4 linked regions of the Ovis aries genome follow. The protein of the gene in region 3 purifies or fractionates together with the protein of the main gene of each other region. This does not show direct contact. Links are inferred from orthologs where the notes say so. Each region holds a gene or a part of one and is shown on either strand. Other genes may lie near its edges. The genes, in order: HMGXB4, SMARCA1, BPTF and SMARCA5.

Region 1 (5,847 bases), on a different chromosome or scaffold from region 3:
CTGGGTTGGGAAGATCCCCTGGAGAAGGAAATGGCAACCCACTCCAGTACTCTTGCCTGGGAAATCCCTTGGATGGAGGAGCCTGGTAGGCTACAATCCATGGGGTCACAAAGAGTCGGACACAACTGAGCCACTTCACATACCCAGTACAGGTACTCAAAAGATGCAGGCTTATTTTCTACACAATTGAATAAAGTCCTTATGAGAGCTATGAGAGGAACTCCTTTCTTCAGAATGTGGATTGGGATCTAATGTATTGAATAAGAGTTGTGATTCATTCTATAAAAGTCATTTTAGTTTTATGTTATAGCTGTAGATAGCCTTGTGAAATAGAGGGCAATAACCTTTCACAGTCTTGTCTAAGGAAACATTGTTAAAACTCCTTACAAGTTTTATAATATGGCCAAATGTCAGTTCTATGAATAAGCTGTCTTTAAAAAACTGGTCTGAAATTTTTGAAGGTAAATTTATAACAAACATGCCATAATTTTTATAGCCAAAGAAGTGCTATCTCATTCAGAGCAGGTACTTTGGGAGATGTCTCAGGGTTGTTTCCATTCTTCAAAAATGGTTTCAGAATTCCTTTGGGAATTCAAGTCAGAGCTGTCACACAGCTTTTTTTATTGTCTTAAGTGTTGGCTATGACAAACCTAGATAGCATATTAAAAAGCAGAGACATCACTTTACCAACATAGGCCCATATAGTTGAAGCTATGGTTTTTCCAGTAGTCATGTATGGATGTGAGAGTTGGACCATAAAGGAGGCTGAGCTCTGAAGAATTGATGCTTTCAAACCATGACACTGGAGAAGACTCTTGAGAGTCCCTAGGACAGTAAGGAGATCAAACCAGTCAATCCTAAAGGAAATCAACCCTGAATAGTCATTGAAAGGATTAATGCTGAAGCTGAAGCTTCAGTGGTTTGGCCACTTGATGCAAAGAGCCGACTCACTGGAAAAGACCTGATGCTGGGAAAGATTGAGGGCAGGAGGAGAAGGGGTGACAGAGAACGAGATGGTTGAATGGCATCACCGACTCAATGGACTTTGAGCAAACTTCAGGAGATAACGAAGGACAAGGAAACCTGACATGCTGCAGTCCATAGGGTCACAAAGAGTTGGACACAACTGAGCGACTGAACAACAAAAAAAGTGTTGGCTAGCCTTTGGTCTTTGAGGATAGTGGTTTTATGAAAACAATATTAAGAATTAAGTCAGGTGAACCCAAAGTGCGTGATTAGACTTTGTTTTAAACAAGGTGCAGCTCTGAAGTCATGAGACAGGCATGGTGTTGTTTGTTGTTTTGTTTTGATTGTAAAATATAACTCTTGAGGCAAACAAAAGTTTCCAGCAGCTTTAAAGCACCAGACATTCATGTGATTATAATAACTTGCAGGACCAGAAAGGACTATCTTGGAAGGAGGTGGAGGACCAATCATTGTACTTTGATACTTACAAATGAGGTTGTAAGGAAAGCCAGACTGAAAACATCTCAGTATATTAGAGAAAAGTTATAAAGGGATAACCTTTTAGTCTGAAATAGTAACTTTTTCTGTAAGGAAGCAATGTATTTTTCCCTTGGCCCATAGTGCATAGCCCTAAAGTTCAGGTGCCTGGGTCGTAGCCATTCTGGTGTTACAACCGGCATAGCTACAGGACCCAGACAAGTCACTATTTTTCTGAGTTTCCTTTTCTTCATCCTCAAAGTGAGGGGGTTGGACAGGTGCTATCTAATGTGCCTTTTCAGGTAGGGAAACTTTTTTCTTCCAAGTTTATGGTTAATTGTAAAATGGAATGCATGGTAATGTATAATACCTTCTGTTTTATATACACTTGGTTGGTTTTAAAAGCTTGTTTCTCAAAAATCCTGTGTTGCTTTTGAAATTATCATAATTCAATGAAGCATAAACATACTTCAAGTAGTACAAAACACTTTGTTGATGTGAAAGAGGTTCATCTTACATTGAGTACCAAAGAATTGTCCTCAGTTATTTATTTACTTTTCACCTTTGGACCACAAAAATGTGAACAATAAAATAACGATAAACTACAAGTGACAGTCAAAGCAGGATCAAGAAAATTTTAAGATTAGAAATCAAAGCCAGGGACTTCCCTGGTGATCCAGTGGTTAAGACTTTGCACATCCAATGCAGGGGGCGCAGGTTCAATCCCTGGTTGGAGCACTAGGATCCCACATGCCTCAGAACCAAAAGAAAGAAGAAGAAATGAAAACCAGAGGCACAATATGAACGTAAATTTGGCTCTTGATTTTCTAGCCCCAAAGTAAAGAAAAGTTATGTGGTTCTTATTTTAAAGATGAAAAATAGCTACCCCAGGGGAGATAAAGATTTGCTTAGCACTCAATTCTAAAAGAATTAGGTAACATTTGTAGGATGAATGAAGAGCTTTACAAACAATTATCAAGGAGCTGCAACAACCTGAAAAATCTAAAAATCAGCATCTGGTTTTTACCTTCTAAAAGTAAAACTGATACTCATCTCTGAGTCATAAGTGACATGGTTTAATAATTATCCTGTTTAAGGAAAGTTGGTTGGCAATTTAGGACCCTTGAGGAAAAAGTGCAGGTCACTTTTCTGCTTTGTTCTCACAGACGCAAAGTTGTTCAACTTGACTTCTAATTAAGTCTTACCCTGTTCTATTTTTATGTGGTACTAGCCAAAAAAGAAGAACATGTCGGCCTACCAAGTGTTCTGCAAGGAGTACCGTGTAACCATTGTGGCTGACCATCCAGGCATAGGTGAGAACATTTCTCATTTTTAGTGTTCTTACTTTCCATGTCTATCTGTGAAGCAAGGCAGTTAATTCAGTCAGCAGGCGAAGTTCTTCCCATGGTCTGAAAAGGACACAAATCTCATTTCTCTCCTCAACTATACAAGTCACTTTAGATTTTGCCTTAGTACACCCTGTCCAAAAGCACAGTATGTAAACATACAGTTGTTTCTTTCCAAGATTCTTCTACAGCTGACTTTTTCCCCAAACTGCCTCTTGGGTATGGAGTTGGAGTATAGGGTTGGAGTTGGGTATGGAGATGACGTATTACATTGTTCGTTATTTGTCTCTATATCGAAGTTGGTAAGGTGAGAACGCTACACCTCAGCCCTTGGACAAGTCAGGTAACATCTACAAATCTCATCTGCCTAGTGTGTGGACTAGCTTCTCAACCCTCTCACCAGGGCTGTTGTGAGGCACACATGAAGCATCAGAAAAGACTCAGATGTGCTTTATAAAGTGTGAGCTTGCTCTACAGTGTGGGGAGCACAGTATTACACATCTGAAAGATTGCTTCTGAGCTGCTCTAGAGAAATTCTCCTTTGTTTCTGAGCTCTCAGAAATTTGGTAAAAACCTAACATTTCTTATCAAATCCTACATAACATTTTTTCTTTAACCTAAGTAGATAAGCCATGTTTCATGGGATCATATTAAAAGATACCAATATGATGCATCAGGCATAAATTGTTAAAGAGTAGATGTGTGAGATTTTGAGCCTGTCTCATAGCGACCCAAACAGCTCCTTCCTTCTATAAAAGACCCAAGGGAAGTGGTAGGGTTTGGTTTGGTTTTCTGAAAGAATCTTGTGCTATTTAAATCTGATCTTCAAAACCATCTTCCTAGTTTTTGTTCTGTTCAGCCTTCTGTTTTGTTTACGGTTAAACCTTTACTGTATTCAGTTTTCCTGGGTTTTCTTACTCTTTTGTGCCAGATTTTGGGGAACTGAGTAAAAAACTGGCTGAGGTGTGGAAGCAGTTGCCAGAGAAGGACAAACTGGTAAGCAGACTTTATCACAGACACATTTTTCATTGCTCTGTCCTTCCAAAATATGTAATCCTCGTATGTTGTTGTTGTTGTTCAGTTGTTCAGTTATGTCTGACTCTTGCTTCCCCACGGACTGTAGCCCACCAGGCTCTTCTGTCCATGGGATTTCCCAGGCAGGAATACTAGAGTGGGTTGCCATAGCCTTCTCCAGGGGATCTTCCTGACCCAAGAATCAAACCCATGTCTTCAGCATTGGCAGGCAGATTCTTTTACCTCTGAGCCCCTGGCGAAGTCCAAAATCCCAAACACTGAAAATAGGGGAAAAAAGAAAAATTATAGATTGGTGGAAAATGGCTTAGAGGTCAGTAAACAAGTTGGTGCCAGTTCACTCTAGGTGAGGATTTAGCTGCAGGGAGGCTGTCTTCTAACCTCACCTAATTTTTTTTCTCAGCAACCTTACGTTTGAGCCAAAAGATGACCTGCCTTGGGCAATGATACGTGTTAAAAGAGGATCTAAAGTCAGAGCCCCTGACTATAGCTAGTAGTTAGCTATGGTCTGAGAACTGAGGAAAGAGCTCCATAGTCACAGCAAATAATAAAAACATGGGACATTGTTTATTAGGAAGACAGGTTCTGGGTCATCACCTCCATCAACCATTACCAAATAATATACCGCCCTATCAAAACACTAATAAGACAATGATATAGTCATACCTGAATCACTCACAGTCACTTACAGTCAGATGATATAAAGGTGGTCTAGAAATTAGAATTTCCATTTTGCTTTATTTAAGGTACTGCTCATCTAGGTGAGATGACATGTATTTTTCACCCAGGTAGAGTATCTTTAGTTTCTGGGTTTTGTGTCATGGTTATCCTATTGTTGGTGTTGCGAGCTGACAGGTTAGAAGAAATATTTAAACCAGATGGACATAAAGGTGAGCCAGAGGTTTCCTCTGTGATTTTTACGTTCCAGCCTTAGGCAGAGGGATCGCAGAGTGCATGCTGCCGTCTGAGCAGTAGCACTGAAGGATGTGCCTAGTCCTCGCCTGAGATGCTGCTGTCTCCACTGCCTGAAGCCTGTGCAGTGACCTTCCAGCTTAAAAAGAAACACTAATCCTCTGTCTGCTCCCCTCCACTGTTCCTTTTCTTTTCTTCATTCTGTTCTTCCATGACTGCTTTCCCTTTCAGTTTTTTGCCCTTTGAAATTTATTTTTGCCCTGATCTGATTGCAGGTTTGGAAGCAAAAAGCTCAGTATCTACAACACAAACAGAACAAAGCAGAAGCTACAACTGTGAAAAGAAAAGCATCCAGCTCAGAAGGTTCCATGAAAGTGAAAGGTAATGACCACTTCCTTCTCCTCTTTTCATTCTCTTCCCCACAGCTCTGTGAATTTTGCTTCTTTACTAAGAAATGGGGAGAGTGGCCTATATTAGAAGCAGATCTTGATATCCAGATACCAGATATTAAAGGTTGCCCCCAATATTTAGAAAATGTTAAGTCAGGAGTCAGCACACTTTTCTGTAAAGGACCAGAGAATACATATTTTAGGTCTGAGATCCATATGCATTCTCTGTCATGTATTTTTATTTCTTCTACAACAACCATTTTAAAATCTAAAACCATTCTTAGCTCACAGGCCATACAAAGCAAGTTATTAGCCAGATCCGACCCGCAGTCTACAGTTGTAGCATATGCCTGGTGGAGCTCATAAAAAGGGAAGACCAGGAAGAACAGTTCTGTGATTCAAGGCCCTGGGCAAGCTTTATCGCTCTGTTTCTTCTCTGTTCTCAGCTGCTTCTATGGGAGTACTGTCACCCCAGAAGAAATCCCCTCCCACCGCCATGCTGTTACCTGCCTCGCCAGCCAAAGCTCCTGAGACAGAGCCCATTGATGTGGCTGCTCACCTCCAGCTGCTGGGAGAGTCCCTGAGCCTCATTGGACACCGCCTGCAGGAAACTGAGGTAAGGGTGCCATCAGCAGCAAGCTCCAGCTGCTGGTAGAGTCTGGACCCGTGTGCTCATTCCACATACACGTAGTGAGCGACTGCTGTGTGCTGCTACACCGGGTGCT
Region 2 (5,447 bases), on a different chromosome or scaffold from region 3:
CCAGTATTTCTCTGCTAAAAAGCACATTGCTGTAAATATTGTTTTGTAAATCTTCGTGTATATCTATTTCCTTACGTTAAGCATCTAGAAGTGGAATTGTTCATTCAAAGAATATGAAATTTTTAGGATACATCATTGATGTTCCCAATTTTCTTTCTAGAAAGATAGTATTTTAGTCTGCTTGGGCTGCCATAACACAGTACCCACATGAGGTGACAATTTCTCATGGCTTAGGCTCCAGGTGGGTTGGTTTCTGGTGAGGCCTTTCTTGCTGGCTTGTAGATGGTATCTTCTTCCTGTGTCCTTACACTGAAGGACTCAATCGTTATGACTTTGGTTAACCTTAATTACCTCCTTTTAAAGGCCCTCTCTCCAAACACAGTCACGTTGTGGGGGTGTTAAAGCTTCAACTTACAGATTTGGGGAGGACACAGTTTTTTCACAGTGACATCCCATCATCAGTGAATGAGAGCTTCCATTTCACCATCTTATTGCCAACACTGGATGCACATATCACACACATGTGAACATGTCTTTGCTAATTTGATAAATATATCATTGTTTTACTTTGCATGTCTTTGATTGAGTGAAAAAAAGTTCTTAATATTTGGACACTTAAAGTTATTTTGTTTCCTATTCTTGTACTTTGACCACTTTTTGGTTGGAGTTCTCAATTGTTAATAAATCCACATTTTTATTTGAGCATTTAGCTATTTTATATCTTATCAAATATTTTTGCTTATGCAAAAAGAAACCACTTTAAATGTTATTTATCCTTTGATATTAAGCCATTATTTACCTTTCAAATACAGCAAAATATACCAGGTTAATATATGAGCGTCCATATTAATGAATCATATATTTAACGTTCACCATACGTTCATAAAAGCTGTTTATAGTTTGGATGCATTGATTTGCTGGCAGTGAAATATAGGTAGTGGCAAGGTTAATGTGGAATCTTTCCAGCTATTGTTTGCTTTGAATTAACAACTGCAGCAGTGTTTCCTCAGAACTCTGATCCCACGAGGTATGCTTTGAGAAGAGACTTCTGCTGATTGAATGGCTGATTGAATTGCTTGCTTTCTCCATCTCCTACCCTAGTGGTTGACAGTGCTTATTAGAACTTTAAAGGCTCTGAGCATCCCTATAGAAAAGAAATCTGACTTTTGTAAGCTGAGTACTTCCAAATCGTACTTTGACAAGAGGACATCCCCTCATTTTTTTAATGTGACTTTTGTTAACTTTTTGTTTTGAAATATTTATAGATTCACAGGAAGCTGTGAAGAGATGTCCAGGGAGGGCCCATGCACCCTTCACCAAGTTTTCCCAGATGACAACATCTTCCATAAACACAGGACAGTGTCAACATCAGAAAATGGACATTAATACAATCCAAAGAGCTTATTCAGATTTCGTTGGTTATAGATGAACTCTTGTGTGTGGGTGTGTGTGCACATGGTTGTGTGTGTGGATGAGTGTGTATGTGTGTGCTAAGTTGCTTCAGTCGTGTCTGACTCTTTGTGACCCCATGGACTGTAGCCTGCCAGGCTCCTCTATTCATGGGATTCTCCAGGCCAGAATACTGAAGTGGGTTGCTGTGCCCTCATGAGTGTGTAGTTCAGTACAATTTGATCACACATAGGTACATGTAACTAGCACCACCAGAAGATTTACTCGTGCTGGCTCTATAAAGTCACACCCCCTGACCCCCTTTTTCTAGTCCCTGGCAATTTCTAAACTTCTGTCATTTAATAATTTGTTATATAAATGGAACACTGTGCTATGTAACCTTTTGAGATTGGCTTTTTTTCACTCAGATAGGGTTCATTTAGGTTTCTGCATATACCAATAGCTCTTTCCTTTTTACTGCTGAGCAGTATTTCATGATATGGATGTACCACAGTTTACCCACTCTCCCACTGAATGATATTTATCCACTTATCATATATTTAGTGGAATATAGCCTGTTTGAATATTGTTCTGAAGAATACCAATTTAGAAAATTCTCTGTCACAGAAGTGATAGAATCGAACAATTACCACTTTTTGAAGGTTGTACCTGGGTTGCAGAAATTAAAAGTCTTCTTTATTTGGTTCAGGAATTCCAGAGACGCTGTAATACTCTGATTTCATTGATTGAGAAAGAAAATATGGAAATTGAGGAAAGAGAGAGAGCAGAAAAGAAGAAACGGGCAACTAAAACTCCAATGGTAAAATTTTCAGCATTTTCCTAACTTTTAGGTAGATCCCATTTTTTTTTACATAATTAAAATGCCTATATTATGTTTAATGCTATAGTGATACCTATTATAAAGACTGGTTTTTATGAAATGCTGATTTGTTTTTGACAGAAAAAGAATTACACTACAACCACGTGTTTCCTATCTGTTTGTAGCGTATACGGTTAGGAACTCCCTAGTAACAGGGCTCAGTATTTTTAAAAATTTCTCATTACTTTTAAGCAGAAGTGTAATGCAAGTAAAATCCTCTGAACTGAGACTGGAGTTGTCATGGGGAGTAGAAGAGGGGTGGGGTGGGGTGGGGCTGAGGTTGAAACTGAGAGTTCTGATTTGATCAAATAAGTTTTCTGATCTTTGTGGAACTATGAATACAAATAAGAACTTTGAGGAGACAGCAAAGCTTTACTTGATTTACTTGGTAATAAGTTAACTGTTAATAGTAAGATGATTTTAACTCAGTCAGGTTGCCTTGTATAGTTAGAATTTCAAGTACTCTTTAACATATTATTTGAGTGTGGTTAAGTAAACTACCATATTTCATCAAGTCTAAGATGCCTTCCATTGTAAGACAAAGCATTATTTTATGTGCTACTAAGAAAAACTGCTGCCAAGTAACTGATTTGTCATCAATTCCAGAATGCATCCTGATTTCAGAGATGCTAAAGTGGGAAACAAGTGTGCATCATAGAATATATGAAATATGGTATTTTAGCATCTATCATAACATTTCAAAAGTAATACACTCATAATTAACATTTTTCCCAGAAAATTTTAAGTATTAAGTAGTTCTTTAAGCATACATTTTTAGTATCATGTGTAAGTAGAAACTTGATGACTATTTTTGATGGGTATTTTATGTCTTTTCTTAACAAGAAAACATGTTTGGAGGTTATTTTACATTGGGTTATATAGTTTGTTGGGTTATATAGAACATTAACTGTGAGTATAACATTTAAGTGAATATTCATGTTAAAATTTTTTTTTGATGCATTTACATCCTAGATTTAACATTGTTGGGCCATTTAAAAATGTGCATATTGGAGCAGAACATTAAATCTGTTTCCATTTTAGTCACAGAAAAGAAAAGCAGAGTCAGCTACTGAGAGCTCTGGAAAGAAGGATGTCAAGAAGGTGAAATCCTAAAGCCTAGAAATAAAGTTTTAAATGGGAAACTGCTATTTTCTTGTTCCCATCTTCAAATGCTAATTGCCAGTTCCAGTGTATTCATGGTACTCTAAGAAAAATCAATTTGGTTTTGATTTCTTGCATATTTTATATATTTTACAATGCTTTCTACCTGAAATGTGTAGCTTTAGATTTTATGCATTCTAGTATTTTTGTGTACTGTATTTTGTGTATTTCATGTCTTCATCTAAATCCTCTCAGTCCTTGTTCTTTTGAAGCTTGTGCTGAGGTTTTAGCTTTTCTATGTTTTATATGCCGCTGCTTTGAAAGAGAACCTAGATTCTATAGCTGTATTATTGTTGTTTCATACTTTAAATTTATATGGCTGTGGAAAAATGAATTAAAATGATTTGAGGAGAAAGACTTTTTCACTTCTTTGTTGCTTTCTTTTCTATTGAGTATGGGCTTGTACGTGTTACTGCATACTGTGATTAGCATAATAATTGTTTCTTTGAGGTCATCTAAATATTTTTTTCCTAAAGGAATAAAGGGTGAGAACAGAAAATTATTAAAAAAACTAATATTTGATACTGTGCTTGCTGTCAGTATGCATTACATTTAAATTATTCTCTAAATATTCAAGTGGGAAAGTATAATAAAGAAATGTCTATAAGAAATTTAATTATTTCCTGTGTTTTGTGCAGTAGAAAATAGTTGTGTTTACTGAATTGTATTGTTCACAACTATGTATTTGGTTGAAAGTTAAAGCTTTGCTTGCTGACTTGTGCCTGATCTTTTATCACATAGAGCCAGTTCAGGGGAGTCTGGGTATAACACGTAGATTTATTAACAACTCAGTTGCGAGTATGAAATAAGCAGCATGCATGCAGAAGAAAGGGGGAGGTCTTCCATAGGAATGCAAGTATGCTCAGTTCACAAGACAGAGTATCCGAGGTTTTATATACCAAGAGCTTCTATCTTTCCCACACTACAGACCCCCACACAGGCCAGTGGGATGTGAGATGGGAGGAGATCTGCTCCACACAGTCACTCCAGGCTCCAGTCCGACTGAGGCTCCCATGTTTCGTATCTGTACCATCTAGAACATGTGGGTTATTCAGCTGCCACCATAGGAGAACAGGAGTCTGGAGAATCACATAGAGGCTCTTTATTGCCTCAGTCCAGAAGAGACAGATGTCACACCCATTTATATTTCATTGTCCAAAACTAGTCACATGGTCTTGTGTATGTGCCAGAGGACTGGCAAATGTAGGAGAATAAATGGAATGCCTTACATTACTGCCTCTGCCACAGGGGCTGTCACACAAAACTGTTAGTGTGTGCTTAATCAGAGTCAAGATCAAGTTATGAGGAAACAGGGAAAATGGATCAGAGCCTAGTGTGAAATGCATAGCAGTTAAGTAAAGCTGGGCATGTGGGATGGTGGTGTTTGTTATTAAAACAAAATCTGGACAACTGAAGAGTTGCTCTCTCCCTGACCCAAGATCTTTTTGCATTTCCTCTCCGACTCTGTTTAGTGTACCACTGGCAAAGCTTGGTGCAAGTCAGCATCTTTCACATCCTCATTGTCGTTGGGGTTCTGCAACATAGGAATAGGTCTTCTAGAATGACAACCCATCGTCTGCTGGACTCTTCCAAGTCTTGAAGACTCTTGACTCTTCCATTGTCCAGATTTCATATTTCTTACTGCCGTGCTCCTGATTGGATTCTTTTTACTGTTTCCACTATTAGGAGACTTGTACTCTGTTGAAGGTTTGGATGAAACTGGGTTGCTATTAAGAGATGAGTTTACAATGATGTTAGGTCAAGGAACCCAGAGATATCCAAATCTATCCTTGGCTTAACCACCCTTGCTATAAGGTTCACAAAAGAGGCAAAGGTAAGCAAAGTCATACTTCACTAGCTGGTGCTTTGCTCCAAACTACAATCCAGAGCTCTTAAATCCAAAATAAAATCTCAGAATTTTCCACTCCAGTGAAATTAAAAGTTCCAGTCATCTGAGATGGAGAAAATTATACATTAGAGAGTCTTATTAATACCCACAAGTTCTGTGCACTGAACA
Region 3 (5,847 bases):
GGCAGATAGCTGTAAGAAAAGCTCATTTATAAATATAATTGGCCCAGAATATTCCAGATTATATGTGTTTTGTTTAAAAATTACATTAGTTAATTGTGTGTTGTTATTTTTAATTTGTATTCCTAAGGAAAGACTGCCTAACGGCATTTTTTACATATTCTCCTCCATCTTCCCTATTATCATTTTGGCTTTAGAGTCACAGGAAGAGCATTGTTTTTTTTTTTTTTTTTTAACTCTTCTACGGAGAACAGGAAAGGGAGAGAGGTTGTCAGTGAGCTGAGTGAAAACAGACTCATTGACAACCTGGTGGGTCCTTCGGGTAGGGGTATATGACTAAAGGCGTCTGTCTGTCGGCATCCCATAAGTCTTTTTGAAAATTGAGAAGATACATTCATGCGAAGTGTTGAAAGATATATCTCAACTCAGAGGACCACTCTGGGCACAGAAGCACTCTAATGTTTCCCTGTTTACATAGGTGCTCCTCAGCAGGTGGTGACACAGATCATCAGAGGGCAGCCTGTCTCCACTGCGATCTCTGCCCCTAGTACCGTTTCCTCCACACCTGCACAGAAAGGGTTATCTTCAGGAACATCCACTGCGAGTCTGCAGCCTTCAGCCTCACAGCCCCCTCGTCCCCAGCAAGGACAGGTGAAGCTTACCATGGCTCAGCTCACTCAGTTAACACAGGGCCACGTAAGTAATGTGACTTCCCTTTTCACGTTAGAAGTGATCTTGTTTACATCTGCTGTGAGTTTTAAAACATGGACTTATTTTCAGAGGTTTAAAAATATACTTGTTTTAAGAAATGGCTGCTTCCTAAAGTCAAAGAAAAGTACTTCTTAAAGGCAGGATGTGATCCCCTCAACTGTCCAGAATGCTGAGATTGTGTGCTGTAATAGCAGGGTGGATAACACACTGAACCACCAAAATTTTACTAGTTAACTAATTTGCTTGGGAAAAATGAAATTTGAGTACATCAAGCCGTTTCCTTGCAACACCCAGCGTTACTATCAGTTCTATCAGTTCTTCCAGTAGTAATCCATAGAGTGAATGTGGTTGCCATCAAAATCCCAAGAGAGGTGTTTTAAAGTTTGACAAGCTGGTTTTTAAAAAATTTATGTGGAAGTTCAAAGGATCCAGAATAACTGTTAATACTTTTGAAGAAAAGGAGGATTTGCCCTATGTAGTTACCTGATACAAAGACTTTAAATTGTAGTCCTTCACTAATTAATACAGTAAGGTTCAGACACAAGGATAGGTAGAGCAGTCGGTACAGAACAGTAGAAGAGGACCCATATGTATATGTGGACACTTGACATATGACCTGGATGGCAGTGTGGATCAAGGACAGACTTTTCAATAAAAGGTCCTGGCTTGGACCACAACCTCACTCATAAACTCGGCTCCAGAAAGATTAAAGTCCTGGCTGTAAAAGATAAGACTATAGTACTTGTCAGAAGGTAGGAAAGGCTTTCTTAAAGACAGAAAATATTCACCATAAAGGAAAAGATTTATAAATTCAGCATTAGAAGTAAGAACTTTAGTCCATCAAACATGAAAGAGTGAAAAGAGTGAGGGGAAGGTACACATGTAGCCAGCCAAGGATTGTTCTCCAGAAATGAAGAGTTACTACTACAGATTAAGATGGGGAAAAATCCAGATAACTTGGTAGAAAATAAGAATAGACACACTTGATGAGAATAGAGGAACTCTTAAATGTCCACAAATCCAAAAAACTGCTGAACTTTGTTAGTAATGAGGGAAATGTGTATTAAAACCATATATTAAGAGATTGGTATAAAGGAAAATGTCAGACAAAATCAAGAAAAGCAAAAACGTGGAGTAGAATGAACTCTCATACACAACTGATAATAATGTAAATTGGTTTGGCCACCTTGGAAAACTCCTCAATACTTCCTAGCAAAGTTGAAGACACAGCATGCCCCAGGTCACAGCAGTTACCCTCCTAGGTATGTTCTCTTGAAAAGTTCTTGTTCGTCTGAGCCCCAGAATAACGGACAGGAATATACACAGCCGCCATCGATTAGATCAGTAAAGCGGTAATGCCTTCCTACAGCAACTGAAATGAACAAACTACCGCAATGTAGAACTACATTGTTGAGCTAAATAAAGAAGCAGGTAACAAACATACATTATGATCTACTTGCCTAGGATTCAGAAACAGGCAAAACTAGCTACATTATGCAGAATTAGGGGGCTGCTGCATTGCCTTCCTGGAGGGGACACCAAAGGGCACCCTTCATATTCTTTGTAAATAATGGTGCTCCTGAAGTCATGAGCCTATGGCCTCGTAGAGATCTGTATACACCTCAGTGGTCACAGCGCGATGAAATGCAGGTACTGTATCCGTGAAATTAGCGCTTCCCTCTAGGGCAAAGGAAGGAGATGAAGATCAGAGCAGGTCACATGCAGAGCTTCTTGGATGCTGGCGATGATGACCTGAATGCTGGGTTTATAGATCTTCACTTCATAATTATTCTTTATACTTTGTGTTTTATGCAGTTTTGACTGTGCACACAGAAAGTATTTTAGAAAAGCAAGAGTGAATAAGGGGCTCATGAGTAAAAGTGCATGGAGCTTAGTAAGTGAACTTTGCAGTGTCAGTTTCGACTGTTGGAGATTTGGGGTGGATTGGTTTTACATTTGCTTCCTCATTCTCCCTCATGCTCCTGGTGGCTGAGGATGAATAAGTCCTGGACAGAAGCGGTAGTACATATGGAGTTTTTAGTTCCTGGTCCCCATTTTGGTGACAACGCAGACATTAGTGACCTTCCTCACGTGGTATTTGCATTCCATGTGTAGAACCCTAAGCTTTCTATGCTTCAGCATACACACACACCATAGATCGTTTGGTACCTAGTGAAAAAGCTGAAACTAGGAGACCTGGGCTTCTCACTGTGTCTCACCTTGGACTTGCTCTCTAATTGTCGGCAAGGAACTTTGAACTTTCTAACTTGAGTTTCCTAATTGGTAGGAAGAGTGTAGTAATATTTCTTTCCTTACCACAAAGTCACAAGTCTATTGTGAGAATCAAATGAGGCATGTCTAAAGTATGTAAAAGTTATAAAATAATACGAATATAAATAAGGTGATTTAAACTCAGAATTTTGTGGAGACCTTAGTTAGTCACTTCAATGCTCTTATTTTATAGACTGGGAGACTTAGATCCAGGTAAGTGGTGTTACTCATAGACAGATTCCTGGCTGTCCATGTGCAGAACTCAGACTGAAACTCTGGATTGTTAATTCATGTTTTTTCCACTAATCACCATCAGTCTTTTAAAATAAATGCCGTTCTTTTAGCTTATCTGTATTTCTCTTGGTACTATTCCATAGACATTGAAATACAGAGTTTCATTATTTTAAAGGATCTTTTCAATATAAAAACAAGTATACTTAGAGATTGATGTTTTTTGAATACTCTTTACATGTTAGGTGTTTTTTTTCTGTAGGGTGGCAATCAAGGTTTGACAGTGGTGATTCAAGGACAAGGTCAGACTACTGGGCAGTTGCAGTTGATACCTCAAGGGGTGACGATACTTCCGGGTCCAGGACAGCAGCTGATGCAAGCTGCAATGCCAAATGGTACCGTTCAGCGATTCCTCTTCACCCCGCTGGCAACCACAGCTACCACCACCAGCGCCACCACCACCACCGTCTCTACTACAGCAGCAGGTAGAACTTGGGGGCTGTCGGAAGTGCTGCTCGTTGGTGTCACAAGTTGCTGGGTGACCAAGGAGGCAAGAGGACTGGGGCTTTCCTTGGGCGGATGTGCCCCAAGCTGAGGAGCGGCCACAGCTGACTGGTCAGCCTCACAAGGGCTCGACCAGATCTCTTGCTCGGACAGACTCCCTGTTGCCACCCCTCTCCCCCTTTAGGAAATGAGGAAAGCAGGGGGTAGCGCACAGTAGTAAAACGCCATGGCGACCGTGCCCCCTCCTGCTCTCTCCCAAACTTGTAGTTGCTGAGTGAATCACGGATGTGCTCACCAGGCAGATGGTCTGTCCAGCTCATAAGCTAGGACTGAGAGCTCCCAAACTGGAGCAGTCTGGGAGCCTCCCCCTGCAAGCTGCTGTTGTTCACTGACCCCATGCCGTAGGAGAGGGATACGGGTAGCTTAGCCTGGGCCACAAGTCCGGACTGATGTCCAGAGAATGCGCTTTGCTTCGGAAGCCAGCCTTCCGGAGACCTCGCAAAACGTGTGGCAGGCAGCCATGAACATGGCGAGGTTCCCTGAGAGGCGAGTTCTGACCGAAGTATTTCTAGATGGAGCATTTCTAAGCTTCAGTCCTCTGTCCTGAAATGTAGAATTCTCTCCTTTAGAAAATCCCCTTCAAATTCTTCTTAAACCACAGTCTTACGTTCTAGAGTCATAAGTATTTGCTCTTGCCTTTTCACAGGTACAAGTGAACAAAGACAGAGTAAATTATCGTCCCCGACACAGGTGCAGCCAGCCAAAAGCCTGCCTCCAGCTCCGCCGTCGAGCGTGAGTCCTCCAGAAGCCCAGCCTCAGCCTGCGCAGCCCGCTCAGCCCGCTCAGCCTTCAGCTCAGCCTTCAGCTCAGCCCCAGCCCCAAACCCAGCCCCCGTCCCCAGCTCAGCCTGAAACTCAGACTCAGCCTGAAGTTCAGACCCAAACAGCTGTGGCCTCCCATGTCCCTCCTGAAGCACAGCCCACCCAAGCACAGTCCTCCAAAGCCCAGGTTGCAGGACAGTGTCCGCCTCAGAGCAATGGCCAAGGACAGCCTCCTGCTCGCGTCCAGAGCCCGCCACAGACTCGAGCACGCCCATCGACGCCATCCCAAGTGTCTCCCGGACAGCAGGCCCAGGGTCAGACTGCAGCCTCCCAACCGATTCCAATCCAGCCACACACATCTCTTCCGACACCTTCCCAGGGCCAGCCACAGTCACAACCCCAGGTACAGTCTTCAACTCAAACTCTTTCACCAGGACAAACGTTAAGTCAAGTTACTGTTGCATCCCCGCCCCGTCCTCCGCTCCAAGTACCGCAGCCTCAGCCCCAAGTCCTGGCTGTGCCGCAGCTGCCACCACAAGTCCAGGTTCTCTCCCAGATCCAGTCGCAGGTTGTGGCTCAGATACAGGCTCAGCAAGGTGGTGTGCCCCAGCAGATCAGACTCCAGTTGCCCGTTCAGATTCAGCAGAGCAGCCCTGTGCAGACTCACCACATCCAGAGTGTGGTCACAGTACAGGCAGCCAGTGTGCAAGAGCAGTTGCAGAGGGTTCAGCAACTCAGGGAGCAGCAGCAAAAGAAGAAGCAGCAGCAGATAGAGATGGAGCGGGAACACACCCTCCAGGCTTCTAATCAAAGTGAGATCATTCAGAAACAGGTAAAGTCGTTGAGTGAAAGCAGCATGTTCAGTAGCTTGAATGATTGTGCTGTGCATTAGACGTAGTGTTTGGTTGTGTTAGCTTTCCGTAAACGAGACACAGACATCATTGTCGCTTCAAGTTAGAAGCAGCACTGCGTTGACCAATACGTATCACATGACTTATGGTCTGGGACTCTGGTGTGTATAAACAGCCAGTACTTACCGGTGAAAACTACCCGTATTTTGGGAGAACTAAGAGGGAAAGAATGGACATAGGAAGTTTAAGTATCTTTGAAACTTGAAGGTTTGACTAAGTTTTGAAGCCACTTGAGGCATCGTGGCAATTTGTTTGAAGGTATTCGCAGTTGTCCTTCCTTAGTTGGTGTGTAGACTAAGCAAATTTTACAGGTAGATTAAACTCATTTGTATTTCCAGTCATAGCTTTGTTTTAAAAAAAAGAAGTGTTAAGTACCATTACTCCATAGCAGAAATAAAAAG
Region 4 (5,847 bases), on a different chromosome or scaffold from region 3:
TTTTAATAGAAATCAAGCAATAATTTAGATATAGAGATCACAAGAGTGGAATATAATCTACTGTTTTCTAATTTAAATGAAAGTATTTGTTGAAAGTATATAGGTATAAGTGGAAACTTGAAAACTGGGGAGTAAGTAGTTTTACTAACCTGAGTCCTTTAGAGATTAAGAAATCTGGCAATATTATACCTACAAAAAATTAGTTTTTAAGAGACTGTATGTGACTCGGTTGGGATGTAAAATCTGGGCATGTATATTTAAAAAGCTTCAAGTAATTCTGATGAATCTCTAGTTAAAGAGTCATTGCCTTAAGCCCTAAGTCTCTGTTCTGCAAATTCTGTAGCTTTTGGTGAAAGTTGTAGTTTTTAAAATGTGATTTCTGGGGGAACTATTTTTGGAGTGGGAGCAAAATACTTCACATTAAAATATAAACTATGAGGTTTTTCTTACTGCATACTTCATTGAAATTAGATTATCACATTTATGTTTATCAGGTTCTGGTTAACCTAAGGTATTACTCTATAGTCTTAATTTACATGCCTCTTAAGATACTGTGAAATATTGGTCAGCCTCTTGACTACTATGTTGAAAGCTGGTAATTAAAGCCAAGACTCAGATGGCTTGATTTTATTTTACACTTGGCAGCTATCGACACCGAAGAACAGAGCAAGAAGAAGATGAAGAATTATTAACAGAAAGCTCCAAAGCAACCAATGTTTGCACTCGGTTTGAAGACTCTCCATCATGTATGTTATATATATTTAATTACTTAATCTTTAAAACATCCACTTGTAGCCTTTGGTTAATGTTGGGGTTTTTCTTGGCTATAATTTATAAAGGGAATTTTAAGTAATCTTTGAAATTTATTGATTGTGAAATGAACTTCAGATACTTTTTTGGCTAGAAGTGATAGTATATCATTATGATAGTGATGCTGTATTTCAAAAGGGCATAAATCACCATTGTGCTTGATGTTTCCTGAATGTATATGTAAAAATGGGAATGGAATTTGCCATATATTTGCCCTAGAGAAGAAAGATGTGTAGGAAAAGGTAGTTATTAAAGACTTTTTGTTACTCATCTCCTGATTTTGTCTTTGTTTTAAAGTTTATAAATGGTTTTCCAAAAGAAAACATGGTTAACCAGGTTTAGGTTTTACTTATGTATAATCTTGGGTTTCCCAAGTGGCATTAGTGGTAAAGAGTCTGCCTGCCAGTGCTAGAGACTGACCCATGGGTTCGATCCCTGGGTCAGGAGATCCCCTGGAGGAGGTCATGGCAACCACTCTGGTATTCTTGCCTGGAGAGTCCCATGGACAGAGGACAGTCCATGTAGCCATGTCAGGCTGCAGTCCGTGAAGTTGCAGAGTCGGATATGACTGAAGCGACGTAGCATGCGTGCATGTATAATCTTGGTTGTCTGGTGGCACAGTTTTTTTACTGAGCCCAGTAATTTTTTTTCCCTGATCTTTCTCTTTCTCACTTGATGACAAGTTTGTACGATCATAGTGGTTGTGAGCAAAAGAAAAATTTATAGTAGTACAGGGTTTATAATTTGGATTGGATGTTTTAATAATTAACTGTCATCTTGAACTCTTAGCAGACTAAACTTCAAGGAGGGTAGGATCTGGTTAGAAATGCATTAGTCTGGTTAAAGTGCGTATCTCCAGATTTTTTTTTTTCTGTTGGCTACAGAGTACCCAGTTTTCACTTCTTATTATGAAGCTAGAGGCCAGAGCCAGATTTGTGGTGCAGAGAGAAAGGAAATTTGAAGTATTTGAGTTGACTCTTTCTCACATTCTTACAGTGTAACCAGTTTTCCTAGTGTTGACTAACATTTCGTCTCAGAGCAGTGTTTTCAAAAGGGATGGAATATAGAATATACATGTATTTTTTTTTTAAGTTGGGTTATTTGTGATCCATATACTTAGTAATTATTCTGGGATGGGAAATGTAAACCCTGAAAGATACCATTTCTTTTTGTAGGATCTCTTGGAAAAGCAAAGTAAGGAAGGGTAAAGGAAAAACAATCTTTTATTAATAATTTTTATTTATTTCCCCTTTGTTAAGAGAAAAACACAGGCCCCAGCAAACCTCTGTTTTGGTCATCAGGGAAGGTGAAAACTCTTGGTTAGAAACACTTGCGCTGACTTTGAGAAAGGAAATAGGCCGGAGAGTCTCTAGAACCGATACATGGTAACATAAGGACTGAGCGGCTGGGGGCCTCAGATGCCTTCCCCCTTCCGTCGTGTTTCTTGTCTTCCATATCCATCTGCTCCTTCTCTACTCCACACCACAGCAGCTACCTTTCCTGACTTGGAACTTGCCACATTCCCGTTCTTAAAATCTAATGAAGAAGGCACAGTCAAAATAAACGTGTATAGGCCCAAGTTAAACCTCTGAGTGTCAAATGAAGGAGGGGCTGCCCACCTGTATTCTTGTCTTTAAAATGTGCATGTCATTTTTCTTTTGTTCTTAGATGTCAAATGGGGTAAACTGAGAGATTATCAAGTCCGAGGATTAAATTGGCTCATTTCTTTGTATGAGAATGGCATCAATGGTATCCTTGCAGATGAAATGGTATGTGTTTGATAGCTTTTGTAGAAGTCCACGTTTTATAATTTAAAACCTTGTATACCATTTAGGTTTATAAAAGTTAAGACTTGTAAGATATAGTTTATTGATTATACTGTAGACTGTTAGCAAGCTAATCCTGTGTCAGACTAATAATGAGCTCACTTTAGTTGCCTAAGTGGAATCTATATCTATACTTCAGTTGTGAGGAATTATTATCTATGAAAGTGTAATAAACTTTAAAATACTACGTTTTGAGAAGCATGCCTTTGGTTGACTTTTCTAATATGATTTGGCCATCTCCCCTCACTCCCCCCACTTCTCTGAGACACGGGGGATTAGTTGGACCTCATCAGTAAATATTTTCTCTGTGATGGCACCTTGTACCGTTCTATCTTGTAAAACATTGTATCTTGTTTACTATTTACTAGTTATATAGTGAATGTTCTAAGTTTCTGTATAGCTACGGTGCTAAGACAATTGCTTGGAGAAAGTAATGGAGTCAGAAGAAATTGGTTCTGGTTCTAGCTCTGCTGGGTGACCCTGGGAAAGCTTATATCTGAGCTTTGGGGGGTTGGTAATGGTACATCCTTCACAGACTGGTGAAGGTTAAATGCCGTAACATTGTCCACTTGACACAGGTCAAGTTTCTGCTATTTGTTAGGCGTATATACAGCTTTTCTTTTAAATGTTTCTGTACCAGTCAGGAAATAATAAATATGGGAGTCTGTTTTGTTCCGTGCTTCATAGCGTTGTGGTTATTGTCTCTTTCAGGGCCTGGGAAAGACGCTTCAAACAATTTCTCTTCTTGGGTACATGAAACACTATCGAAACATTCCTGGTCCTCACATGGTTTTGGTGCCTAAGTCTACGTTACACAACTGGATGAGTGAATTCAAGAGATGGGTACCAACACTTAGGTCTGTTTGTTTAATAGGCGATAAAGAACAGAGGGTAAGTTTCTCATATTTTGTTACATTGTTGATATTAAAAGAATTTGAATTTAGGTTTGGGGAAAGGGGATAACTAGAGGAGGGATAAAAGAAGAGAAAGGGTCCCAATAATAAGCCTGGTCTTCATAAATATTAGTAATTTGTAAGTGGAATATTATCTTGATGGCTAAGATTCATACTGGGGAAAAAGGAATTGTAGACTGTAGAAAGCTATAAGAATATAGTTTGTTCCGCCTGCTTTTAGGGGGTGGTTATAAAATTGAAGGCTTTATGCCCATTCTAGAGCAATTTCTTCATAATAATGTAAGTAGTAGAAATGTAAATAGTAACTTGACAAGTTGGTATCATATCTATCAAAATAAGTTAAAATATTGATCAGTTGATACATCCTTTTGGGGAGAGGAAATGGAAATAATGAGGGCTTCCCTAGTGGCACAGTGGTAAAGAATCTGCCTGTCTATGCAGGAGACATGGGTTGATCCTTGAGTCAGGAAGATGCCCTGGAGAAGGAAATGGCAACCCACTCCATATTCTTGCCTTGGAGATCCTGTGGACAGAGGAGCCTTGTGGGTTACAGTCCATGGAGTCACAAAATCAGGCAACTTAGCGACTAAAATAGCACCACCAACAATGGAAATAATTGTCACTATGAAGAATATAAAATTTGGATTAAAAAATGGACTCATACTGTATTGAAGGACTGTGTATTAAGTTTTGTTTTCCCTTCATTCCGCTATCAGTATGACTCTAGATTTCTTTTCTCCCTTTTTAGCTACTTCGGGTATTTTAAGTTTCAGAATCCTGAAACCCAGTGGTTTAACCAGTCTTTGCTTTAGTTTCTTCACCTGTAAAATGAGAAAATTCATAGCAATGTCTTAAAAGATCTGTAAACTTAAAATGAATGAAAATGCTTACTGCAAACTAGTCTTTAGTCCTTATCTATCTTTATGTCAGAAAACTCTTTATCCTTTTCTAAACCTGTGTCCAAAAAATTTCAACACTTAGTGGAATTGTGGAAAGAAGACATTTTAAGAATTCGTCTATCAACTTTTGCACCAAATAATTTTGTCAGTTATTTATTACATGGCTGTGACATAGGATTAATGAAGTTACTTTGAGCTAGTTGTAGCTGCTTGTGTACTATAGGTAACTCTTAATTCTTTTTTAGTATTCCGCCCCCCCTCCTGCCCCCCGCCTATGCTCTTGTTATCAATAAATTTAATGTATAGTTTATTTCTGCATGATATAATTTTTTTTCTTTTGTTAAACAGGCTGCTTTTGTCAGAGATGTTTTATTACCAGGAGAATGGGATGTATGTGTAACTTCTTATGAAATGCTTATTAAAGAGAAGTCTGTTTTCAAAAAATTTAATTGGAGGTACTTAGTTATTGATGAAGCTCACAGGATCAAAAATGAAAAATCCAAGGTAATTTGATATTTAGATTTGAAAATCATGTGTGCCTTCATTTAGAATTTGATCCATATGCAGACTATTCATTCTAATGATGAATTTGGTTCTTTCAGTTGTCAGAAATAGTGAGGGAATTCAAGACTACAAATCGACTATTATTAACTGGAACACCTCTTCAAAACAACTTGCATGAACTTTGGTCACTTCTTAATTTTTTGTTACCAGATGTCTTTAATTCAGCTGATGTAAGTACTTCTTACTATTTTCTGGTTGGAGTAGTTTTTCGATACTTAATATTTTTGTAATAGAACTGGCCTGCTTCAAGAAACATACAAACTTATATAGAAAGAGATGAGAATTTCGGTTACCAGAGGTGGGAACCAGGGGAGAAGCAGAACTGGATGAAGGCAGTTAAAGGGTGCAGAGTTTATTGTACTTATTTATCTTCCACTTACAAGATTATTAAGTATTTAAGATGTGCAGCATGATAAATGTAACACTGCTGCATGTTGGATATGAAGATTGTTAAGAGTAAATAATGACTAAAAGTAAATAACAGTAAATCCTGAAGTTCTCTTCACAATATTTTTTCTGTTTATCAAAAATGGGATATCTGTATTAAATGATGGATTTTTTTAAACATTGTCATTGCGCTGTACACTTCAAACCTCATCCAGAGCTGTCAGTTTATCTCGGTAAAACCAGAAAAATTAAAGGATTTGGCCTACCTTTTCGTACTGCTTGAGATAATCGTCACTTTTCACACTTCTAGGTAGTTAGCTGCCTGTAACCTACCAAGTTTCGTTTGCATCCTGAGAATTTACTTTTGTGCCTTTGATTTCAGTCTCATTTTTGAAGTCATGGCTTGTTCTCTCTGGAATGTCATAAATTCACATTCTTATTGGGTGG

The links.
Region 1: the proteins of BPTF (region 3) and HMGXB4 fractionate together in Homo sapiens (co-fractionation; 3 studies listed by BioGRID, with this or other methods). This does not show direct contact. The link is inferred for Ovis aries from reciprocal best matches to the Homo sapiens genes BPTF and HMGXB4.
Region 2: the proteins of BPTF (region 3) and SMARCA1 purify together in Homo sapiens (affinity purification with mass spectrometry; 4 studies listed by BioGRID and IntAct, with this or other methods). This does not show direct contact. The link is inferred for Ovis aries from reciprocal best matches to the Homo sapiens genes BPTF and SMARCA1.
Region 4: the proteins of BPTF (region 3) and SMARCA5 purify together in Homo sapiens (affinity purification with mass spectrometry; 4 studies listed by BioGRID and IntAct, with this or other methods). This does not show direct contact. The link is inferred for Ovis aries from reciprocal best matches to the Homo sapiens genes BPTF and SMARCA5.

The regions. Positions count from the first base shown.
Region 1 is NC_056056.1:179,144,130-179,149,976, forward strand, and holds part of HMGXB4 (HMG domain-containing protein 4), read left to right. Parts: intron 1-2,674; coding exon 2,675-2,756; intron 2,757-3,720; coding exon 3,721-3,785; intron 3,786-5,008; coding exon 5,009-5,114; intron 5,115-5,568; coding exon 5,569-5,738; intron 5,739-5,847. UniProt on the Homo sapiens protein: Negatively regulates Wnt/beta-catenin signaling during development.
Region 2 is NC_056080.1:113,399,251-113,404,697, reverse strand, and holds the end of SMARCA1 (probable global transcription activator SNF2L1), read left to right. Parts: intron 1-2,098; coding exon 2,099-2,209; intron 2,210-3,241; coding exon of another isoform or gene 3,242-3,247; exon of another isoform or gene 3,248-3,310; coding exon 3,311-3,382; 3' UTR 3,383-4,041; downstream 4,042-5,447.
Region 3 is NC_056064.1:48,712,397-48,718,243, reverse strand, and holds part of BPTF (nucleosome-remodeling factor subunit BPTF), read left to right. Parts: intron 1-475; coding exon 476-693; intron 694-3,472; coding exon 3,473-3,695; intron 3,696-4,420; coding exon 4,421-5,367; coding exon of another isoform or gene 5,368-5,427; exon of another isoform or gene 5,428-5,847. UniProt on the Homo sapiens protein: Regulatory subunit of the ATP-dependent NURF-1 and NURF-5 ISWI chromatin remodeling complexes, which form ordered nucleosome arrays on chromatin and facilitate access to DNA during DNA-templated processes such as DNA replication, transcription, and repair.
Region 4 is NC_056070.1:14,448,526-14,454,372, reverse strand, and holds part of SMARCA5 (SWI/SNF-related matrix-associated actin-dependent regulator of chromatin subfamily A member 5), read left to right. Parts: intron 1-645; coding exon 646-746; intron 747-2,478; coding exon 2,479-2,579; intron 2,580-3,347; coding exon 3,348-3,527; intron 3,528-4,797; coding exon 4,798-4,953; intron 4,954-5,051; coding exon 5,052-5,183; intron 5,184-5,847. UniProt on the Homo sapiens protein: ATPase that possesses intrinsic ATP-dependent nucleosome-remodeling activity.